Linked DNA regions of Drosophila melanogaster. The protein of the gene in region 1 purifies or fractionates together with the protein of each later gene. This does not show direct contact. Each region holds a gene or a part of one and is shown in the gene's direction. Other genes may lie near its edges. The genes, in order: CG4611, CG4553 and mTerf3.

Evidence for each region.
Region 2: the proteins of CG4611 (region 1) and CG4553 purify together in Drosophila melanogaster (affinity purification with mass spectrometry, with the first as the bait; one large-scale study listed by BioGRID). This does not show direct contact.
Region 3: the proteins of CG4611 (region 1) and mTerf3 purify together in Drosophila melanogaster (affinity purification with mass spectrometry, with the first as the bait; one large-scale study listed by BioGRID). This does not show direct contact.

Annotation. Positions count from the first base shown.
Region 1 is NT_037436.4:5,134,604-5,139,210, forward strand, and holds CG4611 (uncharacterized protein), read left to right. Parts: upstream 1-1,772; 5' UTR 1,773-1,868; coding exon 1,869-3,689; intron 3,690-3,745; coding exon 3,746-4,036; 3' UTR 4,037-4,076; downstream 4,077-4,607. Other genes in the region: Yod1 deubiquitinase, read left to right, coding at 1-831; CG10674 (uncharacterized protein), read right to left, coding at 1,237-1,407, 1,475-1,630; Tcs5 (Threonyl-carbamoyl synthesis 5), read right to left, coding at 4,077-4,607.
Region 2 is NT_033777.3:25,474,985-25,478,469, reverse strand, and holds CG4553 (uncharacterized protein), read left to right. Parts: upstream 1-1,554; 5' UTR 1,555-1,616; coding exon 1,617-2,708; 3' UTR 2,709-2,834; downstream 2,835-3,485. Other genes in the region: XNP, read left to right, coding at 1-214; MED28 (mediator complex subunit 28), read right to left, coding at 799-1,368; Vps33B (vacuolar protein sorting 33B), read right to left, coding at 2,856-3,485.
Region 3 is NT_037436.4:20,519,033-20,522,854, reverse strand, and holds mTerf3 (mitochondrial transcription termination factor 3), read left to right. Parts: upstream 1-2,082; 5' UTR 2,083-2,114; coding exon 2,115-2,901; intron 2,902-2,960; coding exon 2,961-3,238; 3' UTR 3,239-3,265; downstream 3,266-3,822. Other genes in the region: Pss (phosphatidylserine synthase), read left to right, coding at 174-211; CG5104 (uncharacterized protein), read right to left, coding at 569-700, 1,078-1,195, 1,271-1,440, 1,628-1,699. UniProt on the Drosophila melanogaster protein: Binds promoter DNA and regulates initiation of transcription. Regulator of mitochondrial ribosome biogenesis and translation that is essential for development. Required for normal mitochondrial transcription and translation.

The DNA of each region.
Region 1 (4,607 bases):
ATCAACAGCGGAGAGACGCTGATTGTGGAGGAGAAGGCTGCCCCTGCTCCTGCTGCCCCTGTGCCTGGCGGCACCACCGTGGAGGATGACGAGGCGCTGGCGCGTCGTCTGCAGGCCGAGGAGGAGGCACAGCTGCTGCAGGAAACCGCTGGCGGTCCAGTCGCCCAGGCAGCAGACTACCAGCTGCCAGTGGCGCCGACGGAAAGCGGACCGAATGGCGACTTTAATGGCATACTGCTGAAGAAGGTGGTGCCGGCGGACAATTCGTGCCTCTTCACCAGCATACGATTCGTGCTCAACGGGAAGGTGGACAACGAGGGCAGCGAAATGATGCGTCACATCATTGCGCAGGAGGTGGCCGCCGATCCGCAGAGCTACAACGACGCCGTGCTGGGCAAATCGAATGCCGAGTACTGCGCCTGGATACAGAAGGCGGATTCGTGGGGCGGCGCCATCGAAGTGTCCATACTGTCCAACTACTATGGCATTGAGATCGATGTGGTGGACATACAAAACGCCATTATCAATCGCTTTGGCGAGGACAAGAACTTTGGACTGCGTGTCTTCCTGCTCTTCGATGGCATCCACTACGATCCGCTGTACATGGAGACATCGCCGAGTGCTGCGCCGGCCACCATCTTCCCGGTGGAAGAGCTGGGCGTCTATCAGCAGGCCGAGCAGTTGGCCAACGAGGCGCAGTCCTCCCGCCAATACACCAATGTGGATAAATTCACGCTGCGCTGCATGCAGTGCGATGTCAGGCTGGTCGGCCAGGTGCAGGCCCAGGAGCATGCCAAGCAAACCGGACACAAGAACTTTGGAGAGATTTAATACGTCCTGATCTTCGGCACCGTCTACATTGTGGCATTCATGCTGTTCGCCTACTACCTGCTCACCACCTAGCCACAATCGCCGTGCGAGGAGTCATCTCATTAGCAGTACTACCTCCACATCACCGCCTACCTAAGTTATTAATTATTGAATTGAGCCCAGCCGCCTGTATTCATGTTAGTCCCCTTTTAATCCCTTTCGGAATGCAATAAAATATACCTTCATCTACACTAGGCAAGTCTTGGAGTTGGTACCTATATAGCTATAAGGTCAAGTTCCAGAAAGCTGTCCTGAATTCACAAGGCAACCAACTACGTACGTACTTTTTTACTGAGCGTCGAACAAAACCGAGGCTCTCAACTGTTCAATTACATTAAATTTAAAATAGTTATCTTAGGTCCAGTGCTAGGAAGCCCATGGTGGGGTCATGGCAGCGGGATTCTGGAGGTAGGACATCACCACCGCACTGACGCTCAACATAAAGGAGGAGAGCACCTGTTTGGCATCGTCGCTGGCCCGAGAACTGGCGAAACTAATGCAGGAGCAGTACAGCGCAAACCAGGCGCACCACTTGAGCTGTGTAGGTGGGTTACATACTGATAAATGCCAAGTCACTTGGTTGTAATCTTTGGGGTGTTATTACCTTCATCATCAGTCCACACATGGAGAAAATCATGCCCAGAATGTTCATGTAATCCGGCATCATGTCCTCGTTGGCGCCGCCGCTCTGGCCCTGGTTCTTGGGCGCCTTGTAGCGGTTGATCTTCTCCTTGCGGCGCGGATCCACGGTCATGTTCATTTTTAATTTATTTAATTTTCACCAATTTAATCGAAAAACCAGGTCAGATTGCAATGGATGTTTGCGTGGAATGTGAATGCCGTGCAGGTTGCTTACGTTCTTATTTGACTGGCATTTCGGACACAAGGTGGCAACGCCCCTTCATCAGCTGTTTCTTTATTTACACCGCCGCCACACGCACGTTTAAAATAGTTTTTTTTTAATTACATAAAAATCACAGAAAATTGCAACAGATAACATGGCTCTGCGGTTGATTAGCCGTTCAATGAGCTGCCACATACGTGGCTTGCAATTAAATGCCACCGGAAGACGGTTAAATAGTTACAACATCAGCCGGCTGGTTATTCTGCCTGCAACTTGGTCTTGCTCACAAAATCGCCTGCTGCACGTGAGGATTACGGATCAACAAGCCGGTTTGGAGACCAAACGAGAGGCCAACAGGAACCAGAATCCTTTTCGCGAAGAAGTTTTTGAAGAACTTATCACAGCAGCACCCAAGGAGCACCAGAAGTTTAAGCCAGAAAAGAAACCCAAAGAGAAGTCCACCAAAAAGGTGCAGGATTTTGGTGATCCGGACACCTTTGGCGATGCCAAGGTGGCTGCAACAGAAGACCCGGGTGATGTCGAGGAAGAGGAGTTCCTTAGCAATTCCACTAGGCGCTCAAAGAAACTAAAAGCCGTGGAATACGCCCGCCAAATTAAGGACCATCTTAAGGCGAATCGCCTAAATGAGGCCATCGCCGTGCTGGAGCAACGGATGCTAAAGGAGGATCGCGCCAAGCCGGACAAGTACATATACAATCTGCTGATCAGTGGCTGTGCCAAGGCGGGCTACACCCGCAAGGCCTTCTTCCTGTACACCAAGATGCGGCAACGTGGTCTTCAAGTCACCGGAGGAACCTACACTTCGCTATTCAACGCCTGCGCCAATGCTCCCTCCGTGAGCGATGGCCTGGCCAAGGCCCAAATCCTGCGGGAGAACATGCTCGAGAAGGGCTACGAACCAAATGTGAAAAACTACAATGCCATGATCAAGGCGTATGGAAGGTGTGGCGATGTGGACACCGCCTACATGCTGGCCGACGAAATGATGGAGCGCCAGCTGGAACTGAATGCAGATACATTCAACTTTCTGCTGCAGGCGTGTGCCAGCAACTCGGAGCACGGTTTCCGGCATGCTCTGCTGACTTGGCACAACATGTTGCAGCGAGGTATTAGCCCGGACTACTACAGCTTCAATGCAATGCTGAGATGTGCAAGGGATTGTGGCTTCGGTGACTTGGATTCCATGCGAGAGGTTATCGATAAAATTGCGCCCTCAGCTGCTAGAAAGAAACCAGTTCTCCAGTTGGAGAAAGGTCAGCAAGATGATTTACCCAGTGTGGAAGCCAACACAACTACGTTGCCTGCCCAAATTGAGGTGGCCACCACAGCGAGCGAGCTGGAACTGCCCAATCTTTTGCTGCCTCAGCCGCATCTGGGCAGTCTGGTGGCCCTGGAGGAGGTGACACGTCCACACGAACGTTTCTTGCTACTCGGCGGTCTCACTGGCTTTCTGGAGCACATGAAGCAGCACAACATTACACCGGACATCGAGACATTTACCGCAATGCTGGAGGTGATACCGCCCACAAATGCTGCCGAGAAGCAGCTGCTCACGTTTGTGCGCAAGATTGGCCTCAAGGCGGACATCGACTTCTTCAACATACTGATTAAAAAGCGTTCCATGCGCTTTGATTACGAGAGTGCCAAGGAAGTGCTCCTCATGATTCGCACGGCGGGTTTGCGGCCGGACATTGTCACCTACGGTGTGCTCGCTTTGGGTTGTCGCACGCAGGAAGAGGCTAGGGAACTGCTGGAACAGATGCATGTGGCGGGCATTAAGATGAACATGCCCATACTGGGGGCCATGCTGCGGCAGGGATGTGCTAACAAATCCTTTAGCTACGTCAACGAGATCATTCAGTTGAGTCTGGAGGAGGGCCTTAAGCCAAATGAAGCCTTCCTGCGGCACCTGCACAACTTTCACAGAGGTTGTGCGCGAGCCATTGATGCCAGAGTGAGTTTATAGCTAACTTTCTGCTAGTTAAATCATTAATTGTTGTGTATATGCAGCATCCATCAACCAAGACGGCAGCCTTTAAGAAGGGCCACTCTAAGTTCTGTGATAAATACCGCCTGTACTACGAGGAGCAGGGACTGTCCGGTCTCAAGCTGGAGGACGCCATTGCCAAGGTGAAGGAGCGCCCGTATGACCAGTTCAAGCTGCCGCCTGTCAACGGAATGGAACCACTCAAGCACGAGCAGCTCAAGCACAAAACGAAACAGCGAAAGTACATCAAGAAGATCAAGATACACGAGCTGAAGGATGACCCTCCCAAAGAGTCTTTGAAGAGGATAGAATAAGCTAAAAAGTTTAACTCCCAATAAAGTTTATTATTATTCGTTAACCAATCATGGTTCTTTTGCGTCCGCGTGCTCGCACCTCCTCGAACTTGGTGAGCACTGCCTGTTCGTCCTTACCGCACGCTGTGCGATAGGCGGCCAGGACGTGCTCGAAGATATACGGCTGTTCGCTGTGCGTACTGAGTAGCGCCCGCTCCAGGACGTACAGATCCACACCCTTGTCCTCGGTGGCCTGATTGTAGTGGCTCAAGCCGAAGTCAATCAGAATGACATCGTAGTCGCCACCCTTCGGATTGATGAGGATGTTAGATGTGGTGAGATCGCCATGTATAATGTGATTGGAGTGCATTTTCCCAATGATTTCACCGATCCGCGTGCAGAACTCCAGCAGACATTTCTTGGCTTCATCCTCCGTCTGAGTGGACACTGTTTCCTGGATGAACTGCTTGGCAGTCTTGGCTGCATCGAAATATTCCATATACAGCTTGTGGGTGTTGAGGTCCGAGTGGAGGATCTTTGGTGCCAGGATTCCAGCGGCTAGACATCTTCCCGATGCCTTGGCCTCCGCTTT
Region 2 (3,485 bases), on another chromosome or scaffold:
GTACAAGGATCTCCTCAACCTGCACTCAAATATTGTCCATCCCAGCGGGATGTACATGAATCCCCTGCTCTACGCCAACCAGAATCCCAATGCCGCTGGCTACAACCAGGGCACTGGTGGTGTTCCGCCAATGGCGGGCGGATCGGTGGCACATGGGCCACCGGCAGCACCTGCTCCGGGCTTTGAACCGGATAAGGTATACGAGATCGACTAAAATACCCGAATCGAACCAATGCCGTGGTTACACCCTTTAATTTAATCGTAGGTAATTCGTCGACTTTGTCGATATTTCCTGTGGACTAAAGTTACAAATGTGGTTTATCCTATCTAATTACAATTACCAATTACCCATAACCGAGCGCATAAGATTATTTTTTCGTCAACTCAGTTAAGTTCGAAACTGTCCTAATTCATGTGTAGACTTACATTAGATACAAGTAAAAACAACAAAATATACAGCATATGATTTAAATACATATTTACACGATATAGATCATGGCTATATACAAACAATTCTGCGTATCCGGCTAGGACAAGCAGAATTACAATTATTTAACACGCGACATAAAGATAACAAAAATAAATGGCACAGATATTATAATAAATGCGTAACGATTTTTCTCCTCAAAAGTGAATGTTTTGCAGATATGGGAAGGAAAACTATTAATCATCAAAACTATGAGTAAGAAACGAACTATATAAGGATTATAAAAACGTTCGTGATATATAATCAAATCGGTTTATTTAACTAATCCAGGTCTATACAAGATTACAAGCTAAAAGGAATGCATTCCTGTTTCATTTGGGTGGCATTTGTCTGCTTATCATGCGGAGCTGCTGCATCTGCTGTGCCTGCAGCATGTGTGGACTGGGCTGCATGGGTCCGCCGGGTTGCATTGCACCCGGAGGCATTCCGGGCATCATTCCCGGTCGCGGCGGTGTACCTCCCATGGGTGGCATTCCGCCACCGGGACCTTGCAGCATTCCAGAGCCGATGGGCGGCGTGGGGCGACTGTGTACGCCCTGTTGGATGTCCGATAGGCAGGCCTTCCACTCCTCCAGGCGATTGTAGTGCTTCTGCAGGAGTGCCTCCTTGCGTTGAATCTCGATGCTCAGGTCCTGATTCTCGTCCTTGATCAGCATGTAGGGCTTCAGCGTGGAGACGAGAAAACGCTTCTGCAGGAAGAACGCCTCCATTTGGCGGGCGACGTCTATGAAGCGATTTGTGGTCTTCTGTACCTCCAGATCGATTTCCTCCTTGTTTGTCCCGGAATTCGGCTCCTGTTTGGTCAGCGTCAGCAGGCACGACTGGAAGGCCTCCTCGAACTCGTCCATCAGGTTACCGCCGCCGGACTCATTGCTGGCCATGATTTCGTGAGCTTGGAAGTCGAATAAACAATTAAATACAAATAACTTCGCCGGTTCAGCGGAAACAACAAAAAAATCAGCAACACAATTTCGGGAGGGTTGTTACGTTTTGTAAAGTGCTATACCGACGACTTATCGATAATGAATTAGAAGACGATAAGCGCTATATATCGATAGCCTTAATCGCGGTTTGCATGCGGCTGTTTATGTAAACAAAAAGTTTAAATGACTTAAAATTGTTCACCAAGATGACTGCCCGCATGATCCAACGCGGCCTGCACACTGCTCGCTCCTGTCTGTTGGCGAGAGCTCCTCGTCGCGCAAATCCTGGACTAGGTTACCAGCTGGAGCAGCTGCAGGAGCACCCGGAAAAGAGCAGCGAAGCTAGCGAGGATTACGCCGATCTGGAGTCGGATTTCATGGACGTGCAGAAGACCCATCGGCAGTACGAGAGGGAGCAGCAGCAGCATCGCGACCGCATCCGTCAGTTTATGATAAAGCACAAGTATTTCCGAGACGCCAAGTTGCCCAATCTCTTGCTTCATGCCGAAAAGGAGCAGATGCGCCTGCTGCACGAGCGAGATCCCGAGGAATGGAGCGTTGAGCGATTGGCCGAAAGTTTTCCCGCCACTCCGGACATTGTGCAGAAAATTCTGCGGGCCAAGTGGCGACCGAGAAGTGTGCAAAGGATACGCTCCCACGATGAAACCGTCATTAAAAACTGGCAGCTTTTAGGGACGGGAAAGGGTGACTTCAGTATCCCACCGTCTCTTCTCCAGCATCTGCAGAAATTCGCCGAGCGAAGGTGGCAGGATCTGCGGGAGCTTAAAATCCAGGATTGGCCCACAAAATCACAACTACCGACTCCGCAAGGCAACGAATTCCGCAAACTGCTGGGCAGCAGTAGTAAAACAACAGAGGAGATGCCTACACCACAAATCCCATCCGGCTATGAAGCTCCACCCTCTGCTGCCGAAGATGAAACCTATTTGTTGGACAAAATCCGTAATAAAAAGAAGATGCGGCTGCAGGAGCTTAAGGAATTGCAGCTCGTTGAGTCTGCGCCCGCAGTTCCAGAGGAAATGAAGCGGCCCATCGAGAATCCCAGTGGCACCGGATTCCTGCCCAGTTTCGTGCCCAAGTTTGCGAGCAGCGAGATTGTGATCAGTGCCGCGGATCAGCGCAAGTATGAAATAACCCAGGTGAAAACACGCATTGTTATTCCCCGGAAACTGCATCGCCAAGGAGCCACTTACCGGGTGGAGGATGCCTATTACGATGACGATGGAGAGCTGCTCTACCGAGTGCCTGGAATGACCAGAGCCAGTGGTGATAAATAGCAAATGCCACTTTTAGGTAATATTTATTCGAAAAGAGCATTGTTTAAATTGTAAATTTCGAAAATTGTTAATCACAAGCTTTGTCATCATTGTTTTGTATAAAAATATATAAAACATTTGATACACAGATTCTTAGTTACTTCATGGTCAGCGGTTGAAGGCGGTGGCGATCAAATCACTGCCCGCCATTAGAGAGTCGGATGCCACGGTTATTTGGGCGCCTGTTAGCTTTGCCACAAAATCGCAGGCGGCGATTTCCGCATAACTGGCACCACCCACAATGAATACAAAGAGATTCCTGAGACGCAAGGGGAACATATCCTGATCTGCAACTCCGTTTAGCTTCACTTGGCTGGCATAGGCCTTGGGCGTGATTTTTCCGCTGTCCAGGTGTAGATGCAGCCCCTCAATCATGCCCAGCTTCGAGGACAACTCCTCAGCACTATTGATTTTCAGCAAAATGGAGCAGAGCTGAGCCACCAATGGTATGTAGGTGCCATTGAACACAAAACTGGGACAGGTCTGCAAGCCACTGGATTGGCTCTTGGAGGAGGAACCTCCATCCTGACCATCTCCACTGGAGGTCAACAGCTTTAGCCGATTAGCATTGGCCTGAAACTCCGTTTGCTGGAACTTGGGCAGAGGTAGATTTGAGAGCAGTTTCGTTGGCGCCTTTTTCTCCACCACAAGTGGTGGCAACAAGCCCGCCTGCGACAACTGCTGGAACACGCCCAATTCCTGGTGTCCAAACAGATTGCAGTAGTTCCGCGCAAATAT
Region 3 (3,822 bases), about 15 Mb from region 1:
TCCGATTCTCCGCGGATTGCATTGCCACAAAAAAGCACAATTGCCAAGGAGTAATTCCATTGATGCACCCAACATCATGCACTACGATATTAAAATTAAAATAGTCTAACCAGTTATTGTTAACTTTTATATCTGCTACTTTTGATCTACAATTTTTCATTTCACTTTTCTAGGTAAATTGTCGCCGCAAAAAGAGAAGAAACTAAAATAAGAAGTTGATATAAATAAACTTTAAAGCTGCAGAAACAAAGTGGATCGGGCCATTCTTTAAATTAAAAACCAAAACAGAGAAGAGAATTATGTACATAAACTAAAGAAAACTGTACTGATTAAATTAAATACATAACATGTAAATATATATATATATATGTATAAAAGATATATATATATATATATATATATTTATTAAAAAGACAAAATGGAATTATTGTACTTGTTAATAAGAGAATATAAAGGACATTCTATGTTCTAGTGCTAGGTTAATACAATACAAAAGATTTAATTGTCTTAGCTTAAGCTACAAACCAATCTGGCTTTTCTCGAGCTATGTACAGAAGCGCATCTGATTCTAGACCTCCAGAATTGCCGACATGGTCTTCTTGACCGCATCGCGGGCGTAGGGGATGTACGACAGCGAGTACCAGGTCATGGCCAGAGATTGTATGATAATGAATATAAGCGTGAGTCCCGCCTTTTTCCACTAAAGCCAATCAAATAAAAATAATAACATATTAAGTGCACACATCGATTGCATCGTACTGTTTTTTTGTTCAAGTAATAAGAATTAAACCAATATTCAGAATTTAATTGCTAGGGCATGTGAAACTGTGTTATTAATATTAAAAGTAAAATGCTAAAAGCTTTCATTTAACTTTACTGTGAGTTCATGAAGTATGTATAAGATTTGGATCGCTATTTCATTGGATAACTTTAAAGTCTAAACATTAAGGAAAAGTTTTCTACAAAACCTGCAAACAAATTCGTCATGCTATCGCTATAAAACTAACTTGATTATAAAAGTTAACGACCGAACCCTAAATAATTGTGATATCTTCGATTTGAGCATGGACGCCTTACCACAATAGCAGCGATGAACGTCAGGACCATCATGACGAGCACGATGATGGTGGCGATCAGCCGTGTTTCCGCAAACATTTTCTTGATCTGCTTGAAGGGACCCATGAGAAAGCAGGTACTGAAACCGGAGAAGAGAGACTCATTAGCCGGCTTGTGTGAAGTACGAGTGGAACGGAACCAGCAACTCGCTCACCTGGCCATCGAGATGACGTTTCCTAGAGTGTAGAAGACCGCAAAGACCACAATGCCCCTGTGCAGAAATAGGGCGACCGAGCCGAGTAGGGAAAGTAAGATGCCCAAGGCAAAGCAGATGACGAATCCCTTGATCCGAGTGGACCAGCTCAAAGTGGACATGTCGTTGATCTGCGTATGTAATTGATTGATATTAACTAAATACTTTGATAAGCGTTGGGTCACACGGCTTGGGGCGCCATGTGATCGCGGGGCGTTGCCAGCGGCTAGCTCCTAAGCCACGCCATAATCATAATTCCTCCAGCCAGAATATGTTAAGGGATCTAATGAGATCTGTACCATTAGAAAATTTCTTCACCTGCGTAATGATACTGCTCTCCTCCTCCGGAGTGGGCTCATCTCCACTCAGAACGCGGCGCAACTTGTCCATTATGCGGCGATTGAATAATGTTCAACAGGTGGCTGACTTGGAATTACCGGCACTCCTCTCGGGGGGTTTTGCACATACAAGGGTCTCTTCTGTTTTTATGCTCCGGAATTTTCACACCAAAATAAATCCAAGATCATACCTAGTGTGACCGTGGTGGTAACCGTTAACATATACCGTCCGATTAAAAATTATACCAACAATTTGCAATTTTATATATATCTTCATAAAAAAACTAAAGAAATCAGATATTAGTAGTGCATTTTTGTTCAAGAATATCCATTTAAAAACAAATATGTTTTTATATCAAAATCATATTCAAAATATAATTTTAGCTTTTTCTAGCTAGCATGCCATATTTAGAAACTTTGGCAGCCAACTGCTGGTCACATTCGCGACATCTGGCAACGCCTCCAGCATGTTTTGTTCAGCTCTACGTAACATTTTGAGGAATTCACAAAATGCGGCTAAAAACGCAACAATTACCTCACAAATACGAAATCTGCGAGGACAACAAAGTGTCCACCATGAGGTAGAAGTGTTAACATCACCGGGTATAACCACCAAACAGAATGACAAGAAGACCGAGCCTGCGGAATGTGAAGGCTCCAAAGAAGTGGCTCTGGACTTCCGAAATCGGGAGGCCCATGTGCCTTCCTTCAATTTGGCGGCCTATGTGAACAACTCGAGTACCCTGCAGCAATTTCTCAGCTTGGGAGTGGATCTGCACAGTATTGAACGGCGAAAGGGATTGGGAGACTTTGTACTGAAGCTGGATTTCGAGAAAAATGTGAAGCCCTACATAACGTTCCTGGTGGATCAGGGCGTATCACCCGATGACTTCGGCAGGATGTTCACCAAGAACCCGCTGCTGTTCAAGGAGGACTTGGACGATCTGCAGACCAGAGTGAACTATCTAAAAAGCAAGAGATTCTCGGACGAAGCCAGGCAAAGAATTCTCACCCAGAATCCTTATTGGCTGATGTTCTCCACCAGGCGAGTGGATCGTCGATTGGGTTACTTCCAAAAGGAGTTCAAATTGAGTGGTCATGATCTGCGACTGTTGGCCACCAGAGAACCCAATGCCATTACCTACAATATGGAACACCTCCGCAAGTCTGTGTTCACCCTTAAGGAGGAAATGGGATTCAATGCCAAGGAGCTAAGTGACCTGGTGGTACGAAAGCCGCGCCTCTTGATGATTCGTAAGTCTATCTACATTCAAAATTAAGGACATTTGTAATTAAACAACTTATCCTTGCAGCTCCGGATGATCTTGTCGAGCGATTTAGTTACATTCACCAGGATATGGGCCTTCCACATGCCCAGATTGTCCAGTGCCCGGAGCTTTTGGCCTCACGCGAATTTAGACTGCGGGAACGTCATGAGTTCCTGAAATTGCTTGGAAGAGCGCAATATGATCCGCAAAAAGACCTGTATATATCGCCAAAAACTATAGTGGAAGGCAATAACTTTTATTTCGTCCGAAATGTGGCTAAAAGTGATTTGGAAACATTTGATTTGTTTTTGAAAACGAGATAAGAATAAAATAAAAGTAAATGTATATATACTTTTCATATTCATATATGCATATGCATATATTTTCAAAAGTCAACAGAAACCAAGTTTTATCATTTTAAAAATAACCACCAATAAATTTACTTGATACAAGGGATGCCAGATGTAGGAAAACATAGACACGCACCTGGATTGCTACCGTTTCTCCATCTGGTCACACTGGACAGCAACAAAAGATTTAAACTACGCATTAAGCTTGTGCGTAGAAACGAATCGTGTTTAATTTTAGTTACAAGACAGTCGCTTCGGGAGAAGCATTAAACAAAGTTGCAATATTTCGGAGCTCCAGCGGTTGGCTTCAGTCCGAAACCAGTAGTTATAGTCAAATCGAGTGCAGCGGCGGAGAAACAGCGCCAAACGAAAAGTAAAACGCATTTTCCTACGCATACATAAACAGCAAAAGCGAATACACAAACACAGGCAGACATACGGAAGGGCCAAAAAAAACTTGGTCAAACTCACGAAAGAATAATAGAAATAGTTTAACTTTAAAGCGAGTTAATAATAAGCAATAAACCCAAGTTATCTTTGGTGTTGACGTGTTGAAC